4 linked regions of the Arabidopsis thaliana genome follow. The main gene of each other region encodes a partner of the protein of the gene in region 2 in a complex. Each region holds a gene or a part of one and is shown on either strand. Other genes may lie near its edges. The genes, in order: EDS1, SAG101, AT5G66900 and AT3G48080. A codon is read from its position in the direction of its gene.

What was found.
Region 1: the proteins of SAG101 (region 2) and EDS1 are in contact, whole or in part, in a crystal structure (PDB 8YN0), measured with the Arabidopsis thaliana proteins. Residues at the interface, in NP_568307.3 of Arabidopsis thaliana: Glu2 (codon at 1,802), Ser4 (codon at 1,808), Leu7 (codon at 1,817), Lys8 (codon at 1,972), Ser10 (codon at 1,978), Ala11 (codon at 1,981), Leu12 (codon at 1,984), Lys14 (codon at 1,990), Leu15 (codon at 1,993), Val16 (codon at 1,996), Thr18 (codon at 2,002), Ser19 (codon at 2,005), Leu21 (codon at 2,011), Pro139 (codon at 2,615), Ile141 (codon at 2,621), Lys168 (codon at 2,702), Leu171 (codon at 2,711), Ser196 (codon at 2,786), Cys197 (codon at 2,789), Phe198 (codon at 2,792), Leu199 (codon at 2,795), Thr218 (codon at 2,852), Cys229 (codon at 2,885), Glu231 (codon at 2,891), Ala266 (codon at 2,996), Asp267 (codon at 2,999), Asn287 (codon at 3,059), Lys295 (codon at 3,083), Asn298 (codon at 3,092), Ile302 (codon at 3,104); in NP_190392.1 of Arabidopsis thaliana: Arg234 (codon at 2,089), Ser237 (codon at 2,080), Thr238 (codon at 2,077), Asn241 (codon at 2,068), Gln242 (codon at 2,065), Val244 (codon at 2,059), Cys245 (codon at 2,056), Thr248 (codon at 2,047), Ala251 (codon at 2,038), Ala253 (codon at 2,032), Phe254 (codon at 2,029), Leu255 (codon at 2,026), Thr257 (codon at 2,020), Leu258 (codon at 2,017), Ser260 (codon at 2,011), Phe261 (codon at 2,008), Leu262 (codon at 2,005), Phe295 (codon at 1,906), Tyr296 (codon at 1,903), Arg353 (codon at 1,636), Gln356 (codon at 1,627), Tyr357 (codon at 1,624), Gln359 (codon at 1,618), Ala360 (codon at 1,615), Ser413 (codon at 1,360), Asn414 (codon at 1,357), Glu415 (codon at 1,354), Phe419 (codon at 1,342), Asn422 (codon at 1,333), Val423 (codon at 1,330).
Region 3: the proteins of SAG101 (region 2) and AT5G66900 are in contact, whole or in part, in a cryo-EM structure (PDB 8YN1), measured with the Arabidopsis thaliana proteins. Residues at the interface, in NP_568307.3 of Arabidopsis thaliana: Met292 (codon at 3,074), Lys295 (codon at 3,083), Ile302 (codon at 3,104), Tyr306 (codon at 3,116), Trp309 (codon at 3,125), Tyr310 (codon at 3,128), Lys313 (codon at 3,137), Cys314 (codon at 3,140), Val317 (codon at 3,149), Arg324 (codon at 3,170), Phe331 (codon at 3,191), Pro332 (codon at 3,194), Ser333 (codon at 3,197), Lys334 (codon at 3,200), Glu335 (codon at 3,203), Phe336 (codon at 3,206), Asp337 (codon at 3,209), Ile338 (codon at 3,212), Asn339 (codon at 3,215), Asn342 (codon at 3,224), His343 (codon at 3,227), Glu347 (codon at 3,239); in NP_201491.1 of Arabidopsis thaliana: Arg429, Tyr583, Lys606, Met629, Tyr658, Tyr660, Asn682, Asn684, Met708, Leu732, Glu777, His801, Asn802, Leu803, Leu805, Leu806, Met808, Phe809.
Region 4: SAG101 (region 2) and AT3G48080 share a complex: the UniProt entries of both Arabidopsis thaliana proteins name them as parts of the nuclear complex.

Annotation. Positions count from the first base shown.
Region 1 is NC_003074.8:17,754,829-17,760,152, forward strand, and holds EDS1 (alpha/beta-Hydrolases superfamily protein), read right to left. Parts: upstream 3,320-5,324; 5' UTR 2,865-3,319; coding exon 2,547-2,864; intron 2,471-2,546; coding exon 1,739-2,470; intron 1,643-1,738; coding exon 1,562-1,642; intron 1,466-1,561; coding exon 725-1,465; 3' UTR 501-724; downstream 1-500. Other genes in the region: AT3G48080 (alpha/beta-Hydrolases superfamily protein), read right to left, coding at 1-317; RR5 (response regulator 5), read right to left, coding at 4,284-4,458, 5,209-5,279. UniProt on the Arabidopsis thaliana protein: Positive regulator of basal resistance and of effector-triggered immunity specifically mediated by TIR-NB-LRR (TNL) resistance proteins.
Region 2 is NC_003076.8:4,826,956-4,831,528, forward strand, and holds SAG101 (senescence-associated gene 101), read left to right. Parts: upstream 1-1,543; 5' UTR 1,544-1,798; coding exon 1,799-1,818; intron 1,819-1,970; coding exon 1,971-2,337; coding exon of another isoform or gene 2,338-2,346; exon of another isoform or gene 2,347-2,457; intron 2,458-2,587; coding exon 2,588-3,814; 3' UTR 3,815-4,027; downstream 4,028-4,573. Other genes in the region: AT5G14920 (Gibberellin-regulated family protein), read left to right, coding at 1-533, 622-806. UniProt on the Arabidopsis thaliana protein: Acyl hydrolase that triggers the leaf senescence onset. Can use triolein as substrate to produce oleic acids.
Region 3 is NC_003076.8:26,714,183-26,719,595, reverse strand, and holds AT5G66900 (Disease resistance protein (CC-NBS-LRR class) family), read left to right. Parts: upstream 1-1,637; 5' UTR 1,638-1,694; coding exon 1,695-2,481; intron 2,482-2,571; coding exon 2,572-2,975; intron 2,976-3,084; coding exon 3,085-3,437; intron 3,438-3,519; coding exon 3,520-3,716; coding exon of another isoform or gene 3,717-3,751; exon of another isoform or gene 3,752-3,832; coding exon 3,833-4,665; 3' UTR 4,666-4,873; downstream 4,874-5,413. Other genes in the region: AT5G66910 (Disease resistance protein (CC-NBS-LRR class) family), read left to right, coding at 1-51, 146-345, 426-1,258; AT5G66890 (Leucine-rich repeat (LRR) family protein), read left to right, coding at 5,213-5,413. UniProt on the Arabidopsis thaliana protein: Probable disease resistance protein.
Region 4 is NC_003074.8:17,751,917-17,757,067, reverse strand, and holds AT3G48080 (alpha/beta-Hydrolases superfamily protein), read left to right. Parts: upstream 1-1,877; 5' UTR 1,878-1,922; coding exon 1,923-2,240; intron 2,241-2,320; coding exon 2,321-3,073; intron 3,074-3,145; coding exon 3,146-3,964; 3' UTR 3,965-4,605; downstream 4,606-5,151. Other genes in the region: EDS1 (alpha/beta-Hydrolases superfamily protein), read left to right, coding at 1-501, 598-678, 775-1,515; AT3G48070 (RING/U-box superfamily protein), read right to left, coding at 4,771-4,870, 5,097-5,151.

The sequences.
Region 1 (5,324 bases), on a different chromosome or scaffold from region 2:
GAAGCATGAAATGAGGTTCTTGGACCAATGAGAACTTCAAGTGACTTGAGGAAAGCTTCGTTAACAGTAGTGTCAACGTCGTTGCCGATGCTTCTCATACAAGGAAATTGATTACGCTTCATCTTTATTTCTCCAAAGGGAGATGTATTCTCCGTAGCGAACAAATCTTCCGACGAGAAAGATGCTCGGAAGGCGAAAAAAACGGTTCCTCCTACTTCTTCTTTGAGATAGTGCTCCGTTTGGTTAGCTCCCTTCGACGCCATCCATGATATGGTGACTAGATCACCGTTGACTCCCGTAAGAGCTTCAAACGCCATTTCTCTTTTCTTGAGTGGACTTTCTTCTCTTTTTTCTTTTGAGTCGTCTTGATTCTTAGTCCTCCTACTCTGTTAATATAGTAGGAAGATGTAGACAGGAGTAATTACCCAAAATACCCCATCATGAGACCATTTCAATCTAAGGAAGGTTGTTTGTTACTGGTTCATGCTATTTGAGATGGCTTTAGGCTTTAGTAGAGTAACGTATATATTCTAAGATCACTGTAAAGTGGAAACCAAATTTGACATTAGAATAGAGAGCTATTACATTACTTCACAATGATCATACAACATGTTTCTTATTCTAAGATCATCATGAAGTGGAAACCAGATTGATAAACATTTCTTATTGCACAAATTAAGAGAAGCAAGTGTTCTAATAGCTTAAATACTCCACCACCTAAGGTTCAGGTATCTGTTATTTCATCCATCATATAGTCTCGCAGAGGAGAATGCGATTTGTGATTTTTGGGAAGCGTAATCCACCACTTTCTAAACGTTGAACCCTCCAGAAATATTTCCTTATCATCTACCTCCCCGTCTGTGATCCATTCTCCAAGCATCCCTTCTAATGTCTTAACTCTTACCTCAACTTCCTCGTATGGCTTTCCTTTGAGTTCTTCAACCTCAGCCCAAAAGCATGATCCGCACTCGGATCCCGAATTCTTTAGAGTCTCTTGAATTTCTTCTAGCTGTAACCCTAAGTTAAGACCATTTACCTTGTTCCAAAATACATCTTCTGCAATCATTCCGTTTGGCTTCAGTATATAATGTTCGTAGCCTCTCTGAGCATATATGTAGCGGGTTGGTCTTCCTCTTTTCATGTACGGCCCTGTGTCTTCGTTCTTTAAATGTCGATGGTAGTTTGCAATATCAAGAGGCTCAACTAATCTGCGGTATCGAGTTGCTAACTTGATCCAATCTATGTCCCCTTCGAACTCATCTGGAAGTTGACATTTCTTCATTAAACCAAGCACCTCGTCAAAAACACCGGCTAACTCAGCTCTCTTGACGTTTGCTTTGAAGTCATTCTCTTCATTTGAAACTTTGAAGGAATCATAATACCCATTTTTATGGGCTTGACACTTTGGCTTGTATTCATCTTCTATCCATGCTAGTTTCTTTAAAAACCTCTCTTGCTCGATCACCTAAAAACCACAGAACCAACAAGTTTTATGTTGTTAGACACAAACAGACGAAGCACGTACCTGCATTATTCATGAACAAGCTTATCAACCACAAACCTGAATAATCTTCTTCTGATTCTCTACTCGTTTCTTCTCTTCCTCTAATGCAGCTTGAACGTACTGTCTGCCTCTTGTGCTCTGCAGAAAAAGGAAACACTCTGAAGGGTTTAAATGATTGCAAGAATGGAGCTATGGAGCTGCACAGTATGAAAAGAGAGAGAGAGAGAGACTTACCACTCCAAGGTCATTGAGCGTAGACTCTATTGAGTTTTCTCCATCCAAATGATTAAACAACTTCTTTCCCATCGACTGTACCAGTTCCTCATAGCTATGATGATCTCTGATACTTCGAAATGGAATTAGAGACCATTCTTGTTCATCGCTGGCTTGAGAAGTGTAAAACAGCATTTGAAGAATGGCGTCCGAGTTGTTCACTGCAACCAATCTCTTCTCTGTAGAGAAAACAAAAGTACCGGCGGGTCTATAAGGACTTAGCTCAAGGAAACTAGAAAGGGTCTCTAAAAACGCCTCTGCGCTTCCAGTCAATTCACAAACAGCTTGGTTTGCAACAGTTGATGTGTCTCGCATCACCCTTGTGTAAAACTCTGTTATTCTCTGTTCACTCTCTTGGACGGAAGACTTTCTGGGATCCAATTGGGCAAGAACATGAGGCAAAGTTTCCTCTACAGACGCCTTTCGAGCAAGCATAATCCGAGGGACAATATCGAATCTTGAGACAAAGTTCACAAAGAACCGGCTCCATTTTTCTCTCCCAAGTGCGTGACTGAAGATAGAGTCACCAACCAAAGGAGCTCCAAATGTCACACAACGAGGCTCAAGGTAAACATTTGGATTGCGTATGAAGTATTTCTCCAAATACCAAACTGTTGCTAAGATTGCAGTTGCACCTCCTGAGGAATGTCCTGTGAACACTATCTGTTTTCTACTCCTCACAGCCATTTCCACCTGAAGAAGTAAAAGCATAAGAGACCAAAAAAGAAAAAAAAAGAAAAATATATTCGGATGTTTTCAATCTTCTTACAGAAGCTTGAAATGAGGTTCTTGGATCAATGATAGCTTCAAGATTCTTGAGGAAAGCTTCGTTAACAGTAGCTACATCACCTTTACCGATTTTCCTCATACAAGGAAACTGAACACGGTTCAACTTGATTTCTCCAAAGGAAGATTTATTGTCCGGATCGAAGAAATCTTTCTCTGAGAAAGATGGTTGGAAAGCGAAGATTACGACTGCTCCTGCTTCTTCCTTGTGATAGCGCTCGGTTAGGTAAGCTTGCTTCGAGGCTGACCATGATCTGGTGATTAGATCACCATTGATTCCGGTAAGAGCTTCAAACGCCATTGATCTATATCTATTCTCTTTTCTTTAGTGGACTTTCTTCTCTCTTTTTTCTTTTGAATCGTCTTGCTTCTTTAATCCGCTCCTACTCTGTTAATTTATGGGAAGATGTAGACAGGACTAATTAGTTACCCAAAATACCCCATCATGAGACCATTTCAATGCAAAAATGGGTTTTTTTTTTTGGAGTTGACTCTTTGGCTATTGGAGACTCATGAAGAAAGAAAAGCTAGGAATCTTAGCTTTCCACGTGTCGGTTTTACATTGGTGTATGGCTTTGTACATCCGACATGACTGGAGTTTCGCAGAAACTTTCATAAACATTCACATTTGGTCGGAAAGTTTTCTCTGTGTAATCTTTGCTTGGAAATTTTGTAGCTTGACTTTGGAGTCTTCGTCTCTTTAATATAGACTCCATCTTTTGGTTTGAGATGTCACTCTCGGTTGGGATTTCGCAGTAACTCAATGATATTCACTTTTTTGTCGGAAAACAATTTTGTTGTTTAATGAATGAGGAGATTTGTTCGCTTGGAGTTAAGTTTTTGTAGCTTGACTTGGGTTTTCAGATTTGGTCTCGTATAGAAGAAATCTACTACTTTAACTCTGTTTTGCTTATAAATCTTATCCGGAAAGTAAACCGGATAATCTACAAGATATGGAACCGGTTCGATTTCTCTCAGCTGAATATTAACCGAATTAACTAACTACACCTTCTTGCCTGGTCCGTTTTTGCGTTCGGCAAGACGCGTCACATTCGACTTTTACTTGTTTGATTATGAAGTTACATGAACCGGACTAGAAAAATTTAGTTTGTTTTTTTGGCTAAACCAAATTGCATAACCATATTTTGCTTTCAGATAGAATGAAAAAGCCTAGGAGACTAAATTAACAAAAGAAACAAAAAAAAGTCTAGGAGACTAGAATTTTCTTGGTCTTAATAAAACCCAACTTGGGGAAATTTCTACGAAAAGCCATGTAAAGTGTTCCAACCAACGCTTAAAATAACTAACTTATCTCGCTGGATTCGATTCATGTAGACAGCTTTATTTTAATTAGACAAAAGATTAGCTTGTCTTCGTGTAATGAACGGTACTAAACTACTAATCCATTCCTAAATCATTATTTAAGTAATCTTAACAAAAGAAATTCATATGTTAACTTCCAAAATAACACACCACCATTTTACATATCTCTCATGTAAAGAAAAAAAAAATGTATCTCTTCTCCTCTCTAATGAATCCAAGTCTACAATTTACATTTCTATCTTATAAAAACCCATCTTTGTCACTCTTGATCAGTCTTGGTTCTATCAGCAAAAGAAGCCGTAATGTCTCAAAAATTGTAAGCCGAAAGAATCAGGACATGCATGTGTGTGAATCTTTGAGCTTTTAAAGAACATATCGTACGTGGAATCTGATAAACTCAGATCTTTGCGCGTTTTAGCTGCGAGTAGATATCATTAGCTTCAAGCTCTCTCTTGTGCATAATATTCTTAAAAGCTCTTTCCTCAGCTTTCATTAAAGAATCTCTTAATCTCTTCACATCAGCTAATTTCACAGGCTTCAATAAGAAATCTTCAGCTCCTTCTTCAAGACATCTGAATAAATATAAGGAACCAAATGTTAGTGATCTAATTCCATAAAGTTTATAACTTTGGATACAGAAAATGGCCAGCTCATATATGATAATCATTAAACTTAATCTGGTAAAGAGGGTTTGGTTCCTTAGTAATAAGCAAAGGCATGTGAGGTGTCTATCACGAGGATTGGGATTTTATAAATGACCCTACCTAAGATTATGCAACCCAAACAATTAAAACATATATTATAAAGTTTTGGAGGGCCTAACATGTCACCGGCTTATATAGAATCAAATCTCAAGAGAAGATCTTGCTTAACTTATGATGGATTATTCTTTTCTAAATTTATGGCCACAAGATAAATTTTATTATTCCTAAGATCCATTTTAAAAATCATTTTAGGACCCACTAAAATAAACACCAAATCTCAGCTTGATCAAATATACAACCACCACCAAAGTTAACCCCATGATAGTTAAAAAGTAATCATATAATAACCTTTTCTATCATAACAAAATCTTGTGATTATACAACAATTTAATTTAGTCAATACATATCCTTTAACGGTAACTTTATCACAAATCCTAAATTAGTGTGATTACTTTAAAAAGTTTCCTAAACAAACAATACCCTCTAAATCTAATCATCCCCATCTCCTGAAGTAATAAATGCACAAAATCTACTATATTTGGTAAATTTTGGTCCTACATAATCTTGACCTAAACAAGAATTAAGGATCATAGTTAAGATTATTATAGTAGAATATACCTATCGATACGAGGCAAGATGTTCTCTGAAGACATAATCACAACTGGTATTTCTCTGAAAGCTGATGATTCCTGTTAAAAAGTTCAAAATCCATAAACAAGATTAGATCAAAACTT
Region 2 (4,573 bases):
ACTTCCATCGCCATCTCCGGCTACCAAACCGCCGTCGCCAGCTCTCAAACCGCCGACGCCGTCGTACAAGCCACCCACGCTGCCAACTACTCCTATTAAACCACCCACCACAAAACCTCCGGTCAAACCTCCAACTATTCCGGTTACACCAGTAAAACCTCCGGTTTCAACTCCTCCGATCAAACTACCGCCGGTACAACCACCTACGTACAAACCCCCAACGCCAACAGTTAAACCACCGTCCGTCCAACCACCTACGTACAAACCCCCAACTCCAACGGTTAAACCACCCACTACATCACCGGTTAAACCACCCACTACGCCACCAGTTCAATCACCGCCGGTCCAACCACCTACGTACAAACCCCCAACGTCACCGGTTAAACCACCCACCACAACTCCACCGGTTAAACCCCCCACCACGACGCCACCGGTCCAACCACCTACGTACAATCCCCCAACTACACCGGTTAAACCACCTACAGCGCCGCCTGTCAAACCTCCAACACCACCTCCCGTAAGAACTCGGATAGGTAATAATAATTTTCTTTCAAAAGTGTGATGATTATCGGTCGTTGATTAGATCGGATGTATAATTGGACTAAATTTTGGACGGTTTAGATTGCGTGCCTTTATGTGGGACGAGGTGTGGGCAACACTCGAGGAAGAACGTATGTATGAGAGCGTGCGTCACGTGCTGCTACCGCTGCAAGTGTGTTCCCCCAGGCACCTACGGTAATAAGGAGAAGTGTGGATCTTGTTACGCCAACATGAAGACACGTGGTGGAAAATCCAAATGTCCTTGAACCTTTATATGACGATGGTTGTTAAACGAAATAATTTAAATCAATGGAGTTTTTATAAGTTTGTAATGCGTTTGTTTTTGTTATAGTAATATTGAGTTGGATCTTTGTTTACGGGACGTAGAATACTAAATAATGAAAAAAACCTTCTCGATGAATTAAGGGTTTTATGAATTTGTTTTGTATTGAATAATATAGGGATGGATAAAGTTTTATTATTCTAACAGGTTACTTTATTAGGCATTTCTTCGGCTCATGTAACTCTTGTATCGCTGAAACTATGTAATAGATAGAAGAACCTAAAAAAAGAAAGAAAACAAGAAATGCACATAGCGAAGCTCAAAAGATGAGTGTTCTGCTAGCGGTAATGTTGTTATTCAGTTGGGTCAAATGCTCTAATTGCAAATCTTATTTGGGCCTTATATAGACTCTTATGTGCATATGGTCCAGCCTATTTGGGCCGATGTGTTTGAAGATCATTTGGGAAAGTCTTGCGCAAGGAGAACTTACTTGGGACTTGGGAGACTTGGAGTAACAAATTCGTCTTGGAGTAACAAATACATGTCAACTTATTCCACAAGTTCTTTGTGATAATGATATACATATTTAAATGTTTTAAAAAAGGGAAAGAATAAACAAACTCTTTGTGACTTTTTGGGTATTTATGATTCTTTTGGTCCTTCTCTTGTACACATTTGAGTCCTATCTTATATGGTAAGCTTTCAAATGCAAGCGTGTTATTTTTATTCACACTTGTTCTATCTTAATAGTATGTTGAACTCTTCGCCTTTGGCGATTCTTCCCGGAAAAGGGACCATTGACTTTCAGATACACTTCTTTTTTTTTTTTATAATAATTATTATCAGTTCAATGATTTTTCAATATGGACTCTCGTTCTCAGACATTTATTTCTCTCAGTCTTACAATATAAATTTTCATTCTTACCATCCATAATTTTGTATTGTCTTCTCCACAGATCTATTCCAGCTCACGCCATGGAGTCTTCTTCTTCACTGTAATCATTACAATTCACTCTCTTGTCTTTCTAACTTAACCTGCTTTGTTCAGCTTCTTTCGTTTCTTGAAAACCGTATTTTTTTGTTGATGATATTTTTATTTCTTGTTCCTTAGACATTGACTTAAATTCACAATTTTCCTGGTTTTTAGAAAAGGTTCTGCACTTGGGAAGCTTGTGGTGACCTCTGGTCTCTTACATAGCTCATGGAGTAAGATCTTGGAGATACATAACCCACCTTATTCGAATCATGATCCAGGTCTACAAGTTTCAAAAAAAAAAAAAGATTCAGGTCTAGAATTTCAGATTCACCGAGAAGAGAAATTCACACTTGTGGTTTTTAGCGCACCACCGATCTGCAGAAGTAGTAGCTCTGATTCTACTCTTCTTCATGTGAAAGATAAAGAAAATCCTTTCCCATTCCTCTGCTCCGAGAACAACCCATCATTCTCTCTTCACACACCTGCTTTTAACCTTTTTACCTCTGCTTCTACTAGTCTCACTTACCTCAAATCAGAGGTAATTTAATCTCCATCTCTTCAGTCTTATCTCGTTTTTAAGACTAATTCAGAATCTTGAAAGTTAGTGTCTGCAGAAATATATCTCTGCCGTGTTTGCAATTCAGTCCAATAGCTTTTTAATACTCTGTTTCAGATTTTGTTTGATCTAGTATATGTTTCTTTGTGTATTGTCTGGTTTTAAAAGTCAACAACTATAAGAAACAGAATCTTTGTACGTAGAAAACTTGAAAGTTATATGTCTCTTGCAGTTGCTCCAAACGCTCAAGTCTGAGAAACCGGTGATCATCACCGGAGCTGCGTTAGGAGGGTCTGTTGCATCTCTCTATACGCTATGGCTTCTTGAAACCATCGAACCGACGTTAAAACGTCCCTTATGCATCACATTTGGCTCGCCATTGATCGGAGACGCTTCTCTTCAACAGATTCTTGAGAACTCTGTGAGGAATTCATGTTTCCTTCACGTTGTATCAGCACAAACTCGTATCAAGATGGACTTCTTCAAACCTTTTGGAACGTTTTTGATCTGTTTTGATTCCGGATGTGTTTGCATCGAGGACCATGTGGCGGTCACAGAGTTGCTAAACGGTGTTCATGATTCGGGTCTAGTAGACTACAGCCAAGTTCTAAATCGTCTTGACCAATCCATGTTGTCTCTGGCGGATTCAAGATTGATCCCTGAAGATGTTATCAAAGGAATAGAGAAACGTGCAGAAATGAAAAATCTGCGATTTGATATGATGTTTAAGAAACTAAACGACATGAAGATATCGATGGCTTATATAGAGTGGTACAAAAAGAAATGCAAGGAGGTCAAGATCGGTTACTACGATCGGTTCAAGACTCAGCTCGCGTTTCCGTCGAAAGAGTTTGATATAAACATCAAGAATCACCACAAATCAGAGCTAAACCGTTTTTGGAAATCAGTAGTTGAAGAAGTAGAGAGGAGGCCGCAGAGCGATGCATCGATTCTCAAGAGACGGTTTCTATTCTCGGGGAACAATTACAGACGGATGATCGAACCACTCGATATTGCTGAATATTACCTCGAGGGTCGGAAAGAGTATCGAACTACGGGAAGGTCTCACCACTATGTTATGCTTGAGAAATGGTTTGGAATGGAATCGATATTAATAGAAAAGGAAAGATGCAAAAAGAGAGATTTGAGTGATCTTTTGACGTTTGATTCTTGTTTTTGGGCTGAAGTTGAGGATTCGTTGATTGTAATTAATCAGTTGAATACAACTGTGGGGATGAGAGACGATGTGAGAGAGGTATTGACTAGAAAACTCGTGGAGTTTGAGGGATACGTGTGGGAGATAATCACAAAACGTGAGGTTTCGCCGGAGATATTCTTAGAGGAAAGCAGTTTCATGAAGTGGTGGAAAGAGTACAAAAAGATCAAAGGCTTTAATTCTTCATACTTGACCGAGTTTATGAACACCCGGAAGTACGAGAGTTATGGTAAGTCACAATAATGGAATAATTTGGTAATTTATTTACATTTCAGGTTACTAGTGTGTGATTGTTATTATTCATTTACAACGAGAATTAGTAGTTTCTAGTAAATTTCGTTACCAATTTCTTCCCGTTTACAAGAAAAAAAAGTATTATATTTAAGAAAGCAAAAGCAAAAGACAAAAGTGTGTCATTGCGAGAGTAACAGAAGTGAAATAAAATAACGTTATTTATGTGTTCTTGTAAGGGTGGTATGATGAAGTTTACATCAATCGCAACAACTCTTAGAGTATTCGTCTTAGGATCGTGACGGATTGCATAGAACTAACTACTCCAGATCGTAATTTGCATATATAACCTCACCCGTGTGAGCAATGCCTCTAAAGTTTACAGTACTAGTCCTTATTAATAAACTTACTTTCAATGAAATCCTCCAAGACCCACGAATAATCAAATGAATTACTCACGTCAAATCTCACTAAGCTACTACTCCTTTTTGTTAAACGTCCTAAACTCCTAATCTATATACTCAATAAGGAAATCTTTTTGAGTATACCTTAGGTAAAGGGCCAATAATAAACCCAATAAAGGCCCATTAACGTTAGGGCAATAGAGGTGCATTAAAAAGAGAGCAATAACTAATATGTTCGAGCCATCTTGATCAGTATCTCGTTGATTATTCTTGGTCTTCTTGCTATGCCTGCCTTTCCATGGCAAAACCCTAAATCTCTTGAAGAAAACTTTCTGCTCAAGAATCCCACTCCATTCTTTTTTTGTCG
Region 3 (5,413 bases), about 22 Mb from region 2:
ATACCTTAATGAGCTTGCTTCCCAGAATCTGCTTAAACTTGTTCATCTCGGGTACGTTGGTGTTGTTTTTTACAACATTTGTTTCATTGCACCTTCTTGCCATCTACCATTTGATCATGAACTTATTTGTTTTACTTACTACCAGGACAAATAAGCGCGAAGACGGTTTTTACAATGAGTTGTTAGTCACTCAACATAATATTCTGAGGGAGTTGGCTATTTTTCAAAGTGAATTGGAACCAATCATGCAAAGAAAGAAACTAAATTTGGAGATACGAGAGGACAACTTTCCGGACGAGTGTTTAAATCAACCTATTAATGCTCGACTTTTGTCTATCTATACGGGTAATTCTTTAAGATCCTCTTCTTCTTTTTCCCCTGAAAATCATGCATAGAAATATGACCACCTTTTTTTTTTGTTACAGATGATTTGTTCTCATCGAAATGGTTGGAAATGGATTGCCCCAATGTTGAGGCTTTAGTTCTTAATATCTCCTCATTAGACTATGCATTGCCAAGCTTCATTGCTGAAATGAAGAAGCTAAAGGTTCTGACAATCGCAAATCACGGTTTTTATCCAGCAAGATTGAGTAATTTCTCGTGTCTCAGCTCATTACCAAACCTGAAACGGATTAGATTTGAAAAGGTTTCAGTCACTTTGCTGGACATTCCTCAATTGCAACTCGGCAGTCTCAAGAAGCTATCATTTTTCATGTGTAGTTTCGGTGAGGTTTTCTACGACACAGAAGATATAGATGTCTCTAAAGCTCTATCGAATTTACAAGAGATTGACATAGACTACTGCTATGATCTTGATGAGTTACCATATTGGATCCCCGAAGTTGTTTCATTGAAGACACTTAGCATCACAAACTGTAACAAGCTCTCTCAACTTCCAGAAGCTATAGGGAACTTGAGTAGACTAGAAGTGTTGAGGATGTGTTCTTGTATGAATCTCTCTGAGCTGCCTGAAGCAACTGAGAGACTCAGCAACTTGCGGTCTCTGGATATTTCTCATTGCTTAGGATTGAGAAAGTTGCCTCAAGAGATTGGCAAACTACAGAAACTGGAGAATATCTCGATGAGGAAGTGTTCGGGATGCGAGTTGCCGGATTCAGTGAGGTATCTAGAGAATCTGGAGGTCAAATGCGATGAAGTAACTGGATTGTTGTGGGAAAGGTTGATGCCAGAAATGAGAAATTTGAGAGTTCACACGGAGGAAACAGAGCATAACCTGAAGTTGCTTCTAACGTTTTAAGTTTTGAGTGAAAAAAAAAACATTTTCGTAGCTTGTGTATTCTTATTGACTCTTTAATGATCACAATCTAGACTAAACGAGTAATAATATTACAAGAGTCAACATGCTATGTCTCGGGTTTGATACTAGTTTATTGCTCTGTAATGAAATTACTAACCACGCTGTATCATTGTATGTACTAGTGATTTTAAATTATGAGCTTTTCAAATACGCATGTTATATTGGGCCGTAGAAACATAAAGGCTTAATTTGAATAAGCCGCTTTGAAAAAGGCCCAATCTAAGAAAGGCATACTCTCGCACGTACGAGGAGAGCACGTTCCGTCTATCGAACAACGTGTGGTTAACGTAAAAGACCAAACGCAAACGCAGTCGTTTTCCTTGGTCATTGCGCGGCAAGGGACCGAGTCTGAGAAGTCAAAGGCGACAGCTTTGCTATGCAATTCGTCTCCTTCGTCTATCTACATTTTTATGAACCACACATTGATATTTCAGTGATCCCCTTTTTCGATTTTCAGCGATTCTACAAACAAGTTTTTTTTTTTTTTTTGGATTCTGGGTTTTGTCTGAGAAGTGAAAGAATGAACGATTGGGCTAGTTTGGGAATAGGTTCTATTGGGGAAGCTGTGTTTTCCAAGCTCCTGAAAGTTGTGATTGATGAAGCAAAAAAGTTCAAAGCTTTCAAACCCTTGTCCAAGGATCTCGTATCAACAATGGAGATATTGTTTCCGTTAACTCAAAAGATTGATTCGATGCAAAAAGAGCTTGACTTTGGTGTAAAGGAACTAAAGGAACTTAGGGATACGATCGAAAGAGCTGATGTAGCTGTTCGGAAGTTTCCAAGAGTCAAGTGGTACGAGAAATCTAAATATACTAGAAAAATTGAGAGAATCAATAAGGATATGCTTAAGTTCTGTCAGATTGATCTTCAGCTTCTTCAGCATAGGAATCAGTTGACGTTGTTGGGTTTGACGGGAAACCTTGTGAATTCGGTTGATGGTTTAAGTAAAAGAATGGACCTTTTGAGTGTTCCTGCGCCTGTTTTTAGGGATCTTTGTTCGGTTCCCAAGCTTGATAAGGTTATTGTTGGATTGGATTGGCCATTGGGGGAGTTAAAGAAGAGACTCCTTGACGATTCTGTGGTTACTCTTGTGGTTTCTGCTCCTCCTGGTTGCGGGAAAACCACGCTGGTTAGTCGGCTTTGTGACGATCCAGATATCAAAGGTATGTATTGTTGATCCACATTAAGTCTTAAAGTTTCAATTTTTACTCGTGAATAGTTGAGCTGGTTTCTCATGTAGTTTCCTTTGGCAGGGAAGTTCAAGCATATCTTCTTTAATGTTGTGTCAAATACTCCTAACTTTAGGGTAATAGTACAGAATTTACTCCAGCACAACGGTTACAATGCACTTACATTTGAGAATGATTCTCAAGCAGAAGTTGGCTTAAGAAAACTGCTGGAGGAACTTAAAGAAAATGGTCCTATATTGTTGGTGTTGGATGATGTGTGGCGGGGAGCGGATTCTTTCCTTCAGAAATTTCAAATTAAGTTACCAAATTATAAGATTTTGGTGACTTCTCGGTTTGACTTTCCGAGTTTTGATTCCAATTATCGTTTGAAACCTTTGGAAGATGATGATGCTAGAGCCCTTCTCATTCATTGGGCATCGCGACCTTGTAACACGTCTCCTGATGAGTACGAAGATCTCCTCCAGAAGGTTGTTGTTTCATTCATCTAGATGAACCTCTATACATTTGTGATCTACGAAATCTGTAACTATATCAATAGATTCATCTTTTTCTTTTTTCACATGGTGAGTATTGCAGATATTGAAACGTTGCAATGGATTCCCAATCGTAATTGAAGTAGTGGGTGTTTCACTCAAAGGACGATCTCTAAATACATGGAAAGGTCAGGTGGAAAGCTGGTCTGAAGGGGAAAAAATTCTTGGTAAGCCTTATCCAACTGTGCTAGAATGTTTGCAGCCTAGTTTTGATGCTCTGGATCCCAACCTTAAGGAGTGCTTTTTGGACATGGGCTCATTTCTTGAGGACCAAAAGATACGTGCTTCGGTAATAATTGATATGTGGGTGGAATTATACGGTAAAGGTAGTAGTATCTTGTATATGTACCTTGAAGACCTTGCCTCCCAGAATCTACTTAAACTTGTTCCTCTCGGGTATGTTATTTATGTTTCAAATCTATATCTTTGCACCTTCTTGCCATCTACCATTAGTGGAACTTATTTATTTCTTTATCAGCACAAATGAGCACGAAGACGGTTTCTACAATGACTTCTTAGTGACTCAACATGATATCCTTAGGGAGTTGGCTATCTGTCAAAGCGAATTTAAGGAAAACTTAGAAAGAAAAAGACTAAATCTGGAGATACTAGAGAATACATTTCCAGACTGGTGTTTGAATACTATTAATGCCTCTTTATTGTCTATCTCTACGGGTAATTCTTTGGGGTCTTCTTTTTCTGAAAATTAAACTTAATGATTATACAAATCTCTGCTGTTTCTAGAAATATGACTTCTCTATAACTATGATTGGTCTCTCTTTTTCTTACAGATGATTTGTTCTCATCGAAATGGTTGGAAATGGATTGCCCCAATGTTGAGGCTTTAGTTCTAAATCTCTCTTCATCAGACTATGCATTGCCAAGCTTCATCTCTGGAATGAAGAAGCTGAAGGTTCTGACAATCACAAATCACGGTTTTTATCCAGCAAGATTGAGTAATTTCTCGTGTCTCAGCTCATTACCAAACCTGAAACGGATTAGATTGGAAAAAGTTTCAATCACTTTGCTAGACATTCCCCAACTGCAACTCAGCAGTCTTAAGAAGCTGTCTTTGGTCATGTGTAGTTTCGGTGAGGTTTTCTACGACACAGAAGATATAGTTGTCTCTAATGCTCTATCGAAATTACAAGAGATTGACATAGACTACTGCTATGATCTTGATGAGTTACCGTATTGGATCTCTGAAATTGTTTCATTGAAGACACTTAGCATCACAAACTGTAACAAGCTCTCTCAACTTCCAGAAGCTATAGGCAACTTGAGTAGACTAGAAGTGTTGAGGCTGTGTTCTTCTATGAATCTCTCTGAGCTGCCTGAAGCGACTGAGGGACTCAGCAACTTGCGGTTTCTGGATATTTCTCATTGCTTAGGATTGAGAAAGTTGCCTCAAGAGATTGGCAAACTGCAGAATCTGAAAAAGATCTCGATGAGAAAGTGTTCGGGATGCGAGTTGCCGGAGTCAGTGACGAATCTAGAGAATCTGGAGGTCAAATGCGATGAAGAAACTGGATTGTTGTGGGAAAGGCTGAAGCCAAAAATGAGAAATTTGAGAGTTCAGGAGGAGGAAATAGAGCATAACCTGAACTTGCTTCAAATGTTTTAAGTGAAAGAACGTTATCGTAGTAGCTTCTGTGGATCTTGTAATGTTTGTTATTCATTATTTTCGTTGTTATATACATTATAATGGCTACTGAGTCCAAGTACAGAGAAAATGTCATGCCAAAGAATTTTGTGTAGGTCAATCTTTTAAAACCATTTAAGAGTACTACTAAATCCTTGATCCTTATCTAACTTGAATAGATTTGAACAGAGTTATTCACCAACATTTTTGACAAACTATAAATGTAATATTCAACATTCTTAATGTTAAAAATATAATGTTGGTAAATTCTTTGAAAATCCTAAAATGTGAAGTCAAGTCTCCTTTTTCCTTTGCTAGCTAAACTTCTGTTCTGGGATTCAAACAATGGTTTGTTTGAAACTTCAAAGTACCGCGTGACTTTTCCGTTATAAATTTGATCTAATGGCTTTTATGAAGAGTCACGTTTTTTATAATCAAAGAAAGAGTCGGTCAATAGATTAAAATTTCTCTCAAATTGCTTGGTTTTCATCTTAATTCATAATTCTCCTCTCCCTTCATAGGAACCATTATGAATTCGAATTCGATTCAAAGCTTTGATGCCTTGCCCCACAATCTTCGAGAGTGTTTCTTGGACATGGCCTCATTTCTTGAAGACCAAAGGATAATAGCTTCCACTATAATTGACTTATGGTCTGCATCATACGGTAAAGAGGGTATGAATAACCTCCAAGATCTTGCCTCTCGCAATCTCCTTAAACTTCTTCCTATT
Region 4 (5,151 bases), on a different chromosome or scaffold from region 2:
TCAAGATTCGATATTGTCCCTCGGATTATGCTTGCTCGAAAGGCGTCTGTAGAGGAAACTTTGCCTCATGTTCTTGCCCAATTGGATCCCAGAAAGTCTTCCGTCCAAGAGAGTGAACAGAGAATAACAGAGTTTTACACAAGGGTGATGCGAGACACATCAACTGTTGCAAACCAAGCTGTTTGTGAATTGACTGGAAGCGCAGAGGCGTTTTTAGAGACCCTTTCTAGTTTCCTTGAGCTAAGTCCTTATAGACCCGCCGGTACTTTTGTTTTCTCTACAGAGAAGAGATTGGTTGCAGTGAACAACTCGGACGCCATTCTTCAAATGCTGTTTTACACTTCTCAAGCCAGCGATGAACAAGAATGGTCTCTAATTCCATTTCGAAGTATCAGAGATCATCATAGCTATGAGGAACTGGTACAGTCGATGGGAAAGAAGTTGTTTAATCATTTGGATGGAGAAAACTCAATAGAGTCTACGCTCAATGACCTTGGAGTGGTAAGTCTCTCTCTCTCTCTCTTTTCATACTGTGCAGCTCCATAGCTCCATTCTTGCAATCATTTAAACCCTTCAGAGTGTTTCCTTTTTCTGCAGAGCACAAGAGGCAGACAGTACGTTCAAGCTGCATTAGAGGAAGAGAAGAAACGAGTAGAGAATCAGAAGAAGATTATTCAGGTTTGTGGTTGATAAGCTTGTTCATGAATAATGCAGGTACGTGCTTCGTCTGTTTGTGTCTAACAACATAAAACTTGTTGGTTCTGTGGTTTTTAGGTGATCGAGCAAGAGAGGTTTTTAAAGAAACTAGCATGGATAGAAGATGAATACAAGCCAAAGTGTCAAGCCCATAAAAATGGGTATTATGATTCCTTCAAAGTTTCAAATGAAGAGAATGACTTCAAAGCAAACGTCAAGAGAGCTGAGTTAGCCGGTGTTTTTGACGAGGTGCTTGGTTTAATGAAGAAATGTCAACTTCCAGATGAGTTCGAAGGGGACATAGATTGGATCAAGTTAGCAACTCGATACCGCAGATTAGTTGAGCCTCTTGATATTGCAAACTACCATCGACATTTAAAGAACGAAGACACAGGGCCGTACATGAAAAGAGGAAGACCAACCCGCTACATATATGCTCAGAGAGGCTACGAACATTATATACTGAAGCCAAACGGAATGATTGCAGAAGATGTATTTTGGAACAAGGTAAATGGTCTTAACTTAGGGTTACAGCTAGAAGAAATTCAAGAGACTCTAAAGAATTCGGGATCCGAGTGCGGATCATGCTTTTGGGCTGAGGTTGAAGAACTCAAAGGAAAGCCATACGAGGAAGTTGAGGTAAGAGTTAAGACATTAGAAGGGATGCTTGGAGAATGGATCACAGACGGGGAGGTAGATGATAAGGAAATATTTCTGGAGGGTTCAACGTTTAGAAAGTGGTGGATTACGCTTCCCAAAAATCACAAATCGCATTCTCCTCTGCGAGACTATATGATGGATGAAATAACAGATACCTGAACCTTAGGTGGTGGAGTATTTAAGCTATTAGAACACTTGCTTCTCTTAATTTGTGCAATAAGAAATGTTTATCAATCTGGTTTCCACTTCATGATGATCTTAGAATAAGAAACATGTTGTATGATCATTGTGAAGTAATGTAATAGCTCTCTATTCTAATGTCAAATTTGGTTTCCACTTTACAGTGATCTTAGAATATATACGTTACTCTACTAAAGCCTAAAGCCATCTCAAATAGCATGAACCAGTAACAAACAACCTTCCTTAGATTGAAATGGTCTCATGATGGGGTATTTTGGGTAATTACTCCTGTCTACATCTTCCTACTATATTAACAGAGTAGGAGGACTAAGAATCAAGACGACTCAAAAGAAAAAAGAGAAGAAAGTCCACTCAAGAAAAGAGAAATGGCGTTTGAAGCTCTTACGGGAGTCAACGGTGATCTAGTCACCATATCATGGATGGCGTCGAAGGGAGCTAACCAAACGGAGCACTATCTCAAAGAAGAAGTAGGAGGAACCGTTTTTTTCGCCTTCCGAGCATCTTTCTCGTCGGAAGATTTGTTCGCTACGGAGAATACATCTCCCTTTGGAGAAATAAAGATGAAGCGTAATCAATTTCCTTGTATGAGAAGCATCGGCAACGACGTTGACACTACTGTTAACGAAGCTTTCCTCAAGTCACTTGAAGTTCTCATTGGTCCAAGAACCTCATTTCATGCTTCTGTAAGTAAACAAAAGCTTCTTAAATGCGTTTTAAATCGAAAACATCAGAATAATTTGTGTCTGAAACTTACTTTCTTCAGGTGCAAAGCGCGGTTGATAGAAAACAACAGGTTGTGTTCACAGGACATTCTTTCGGAGGCGCAACTGCAATTCTAGCAACAGTTTGGTATTTGGAGACATACTTCATACGTGACGCCTATGCTGCCCCTGAGCCTCGTTGTGTGACATTTGGAGCTCCTTTGGTTGGTGACTATATCTTTAAACACGCGCTTGGGAGAGAGAATTGGAGCCGGTTTTTCGTAAACTTTGTTACAAGATTCGATATTGTCCCTCGGATTATGCTTGCTCGGAAGACAACGATAGAGCAAACCCTGTCTTACGTTCTTGGCAAATTGGATTCTACAAGAGCTCCGATCCATGAGAGCGACCAGGTGATAACAGAATTTTACACAAGGGTGATGCGAGACACATATACTGTTGCTTCCAAAGCTGTCTGTCAGTTGATTGGAAACGGAGAAGCGTTTTTAGAAACTCTTTCTAGTTTTTATGAGCTAAGTCCTTATAGACCAGTAGGCACTTTTGTCTTCTCTACACAGAAAAGATTGGTTGTAGTGAACAACTCAGACGCCATTCTTCAAATGTTGTTTTACACTTGTCAGTCCAACGACGAACAAGAATTGTCTGTGATTCCATTTCTAAGCATTAGAGATCACCATGGCTATGAGGAACTGGTACAATCCATTGGTATTAAGTTGCTTAATCATTTGGATCTGCATAATCCGCTTTTGGATGGAGAAAACTCAATAGGCTCCGCTCTCGACGACCTTGGAATGGTAAATCTTTTTCTCTTTTCAATTTGTGCAGCTTCATTAGCTCCATCCTTATTTATGTTTCCTTTTTTGCAGAGCACAAGAGCCAGACAGTGTATTCATGCTGCATTAGAGGCTGAGAAGCAACGAGTGGAAAATCAGAAGAAGATAGAAACCAAAAGAGATCAAATAGTAGAAAGACTAACTTGGATAGTGGAAGTATACAAGCCAAAGTGTCAAGCTCATAAAAATGGGTATTACGATTCCTTCAAAGATTCAAATGAAGAGAATGACTTCAAAGCAAACGTCAAGAGAGTGGAGTTAGCCGGTATTTTCGACGAGGTGCTTGGTTTAGTGAAGAAAGGTCAGCTTCCAGATGGATTCGAGGGGAGCAGAGGCTGGATCAATTTAGCAACTCAATACCGCAGATTAATTGAACCTCTTGATATTTCAAACTACCATGGGCAGTTAAAGAACGAAGACACAGGGCCGTACATGTTACATGGAAGACCAAGCCGCTACAAATACGCTCAGAGAGGGTACGAACATGATATATTAAAGCCAACTGGAATGATCGCAAAAGATGTGTTTTGGAGCAAGGTAAATGGTCTTAACTTAGGATTACAGCAAGACATTCAAGAGATCTTAAAGAATTCGGGATCCGAGTGCGGTTCATGCTTTTGGGCTGAGGTCGAAGAACTCAAGGGAAAGCCATATGAGGAAGTTCAGGTAAGATTCAAGACACTAGAAGGGTTGCTTGAAGGATGGATCAAAGACGGGGAAGTAGATGAGAAGGAAATATTTCTGGAGGGTTCAACATTTAGAAAGTGGTGGAATACACTTCCTGACAGTCACAAAATACATGCTCCGCTGTATCCACGTGAGCGTATGATGGATGAAACAAGAGCTACCTGAACCTTAAATGGTTCGATTATTGAAACACTTGCTTCTTAATTTGTGCAATAAGAAATGTTTATCAATCTGGTTTCCACTTCACGATGATCTTAGAATAAGAATCATGTTGTATGATCATTGTGAAGTAATGTAATAGCTCTCTATTCTAATGTCAAATTTGGTTTCCACTTTACAATGATCTTAGAATAAATACATTATTCTAAAGCCTAAAGCCATCTCGAATAGCATGAACCAGTAACAAACAATCTTCCTTAGTGTTGACAGAAGGAAAGAGGACCAGAATGTCATCAGAATAGAGCCTGAGGTTACTTCAATTGTTTATAACATTACTAACCTCTATACCTCAAAACAAGTGGCTGTGCAAACGCTCCAAGTTCTAGCTACTACATAACCAAAGAAGAAAACGATTAAAACACAAAATTTGAAACTTGCCCTATGCCCCTCTGTATGCTAGTTAGCTCGATATGAAAGTTTGACTCAAGTATGTCTCCTAAACACAAGTAAATAAAAGAGTAATCACATTACCAAGACGTTCCTGTTAGATTTGCGTTCCACCAGAATCCTGCATCAGTATAATCAACTCAAGGATGCATACCATATAGCTAAGGAGGAAGTAGATCATTCACAAAAGAATCAGACAATAGAAGTAATCTTCAACTCTTTCGCGCGAATGTCAATTTTATATATAACCAAACTTGACTGTCTATATGCTGTATTTAGTCGCTCAACATAGAATCAAGTAGAATGATATAACATCTATGGCCACCTTAAAATAACAGACGACATAAAATGATACCTTTAGAGTATTACAGATAAGCAAGGTTCTCGCAGGCTATGAGAAAGAGACTTATTGCAACTTTTATGTATTTGAAATTCGTGTACCACCTTATGTACTCACACACCACTCTACATAACCACCACCACCACCACCACATGTTTCAGATGAAGAAGAGTCATTGACATAGAAGAACATAGAACATAGTTCTCAGTTGCCAAAAGACAAATCCCTATACCCATATCTAAAGAGTTTTAAAGACAGGTGAAAAACGTAGAACATGCGAGGAAAACAATGAAGAAGAGAGAAAACAAACAGACACAGGCCGAGAAAAGCCACACATCCTTTCTTCATGACCTGCAAAACATGCTAGACGAACGAGCAAGCCGAATAGTCAGACCACCACCTTGAA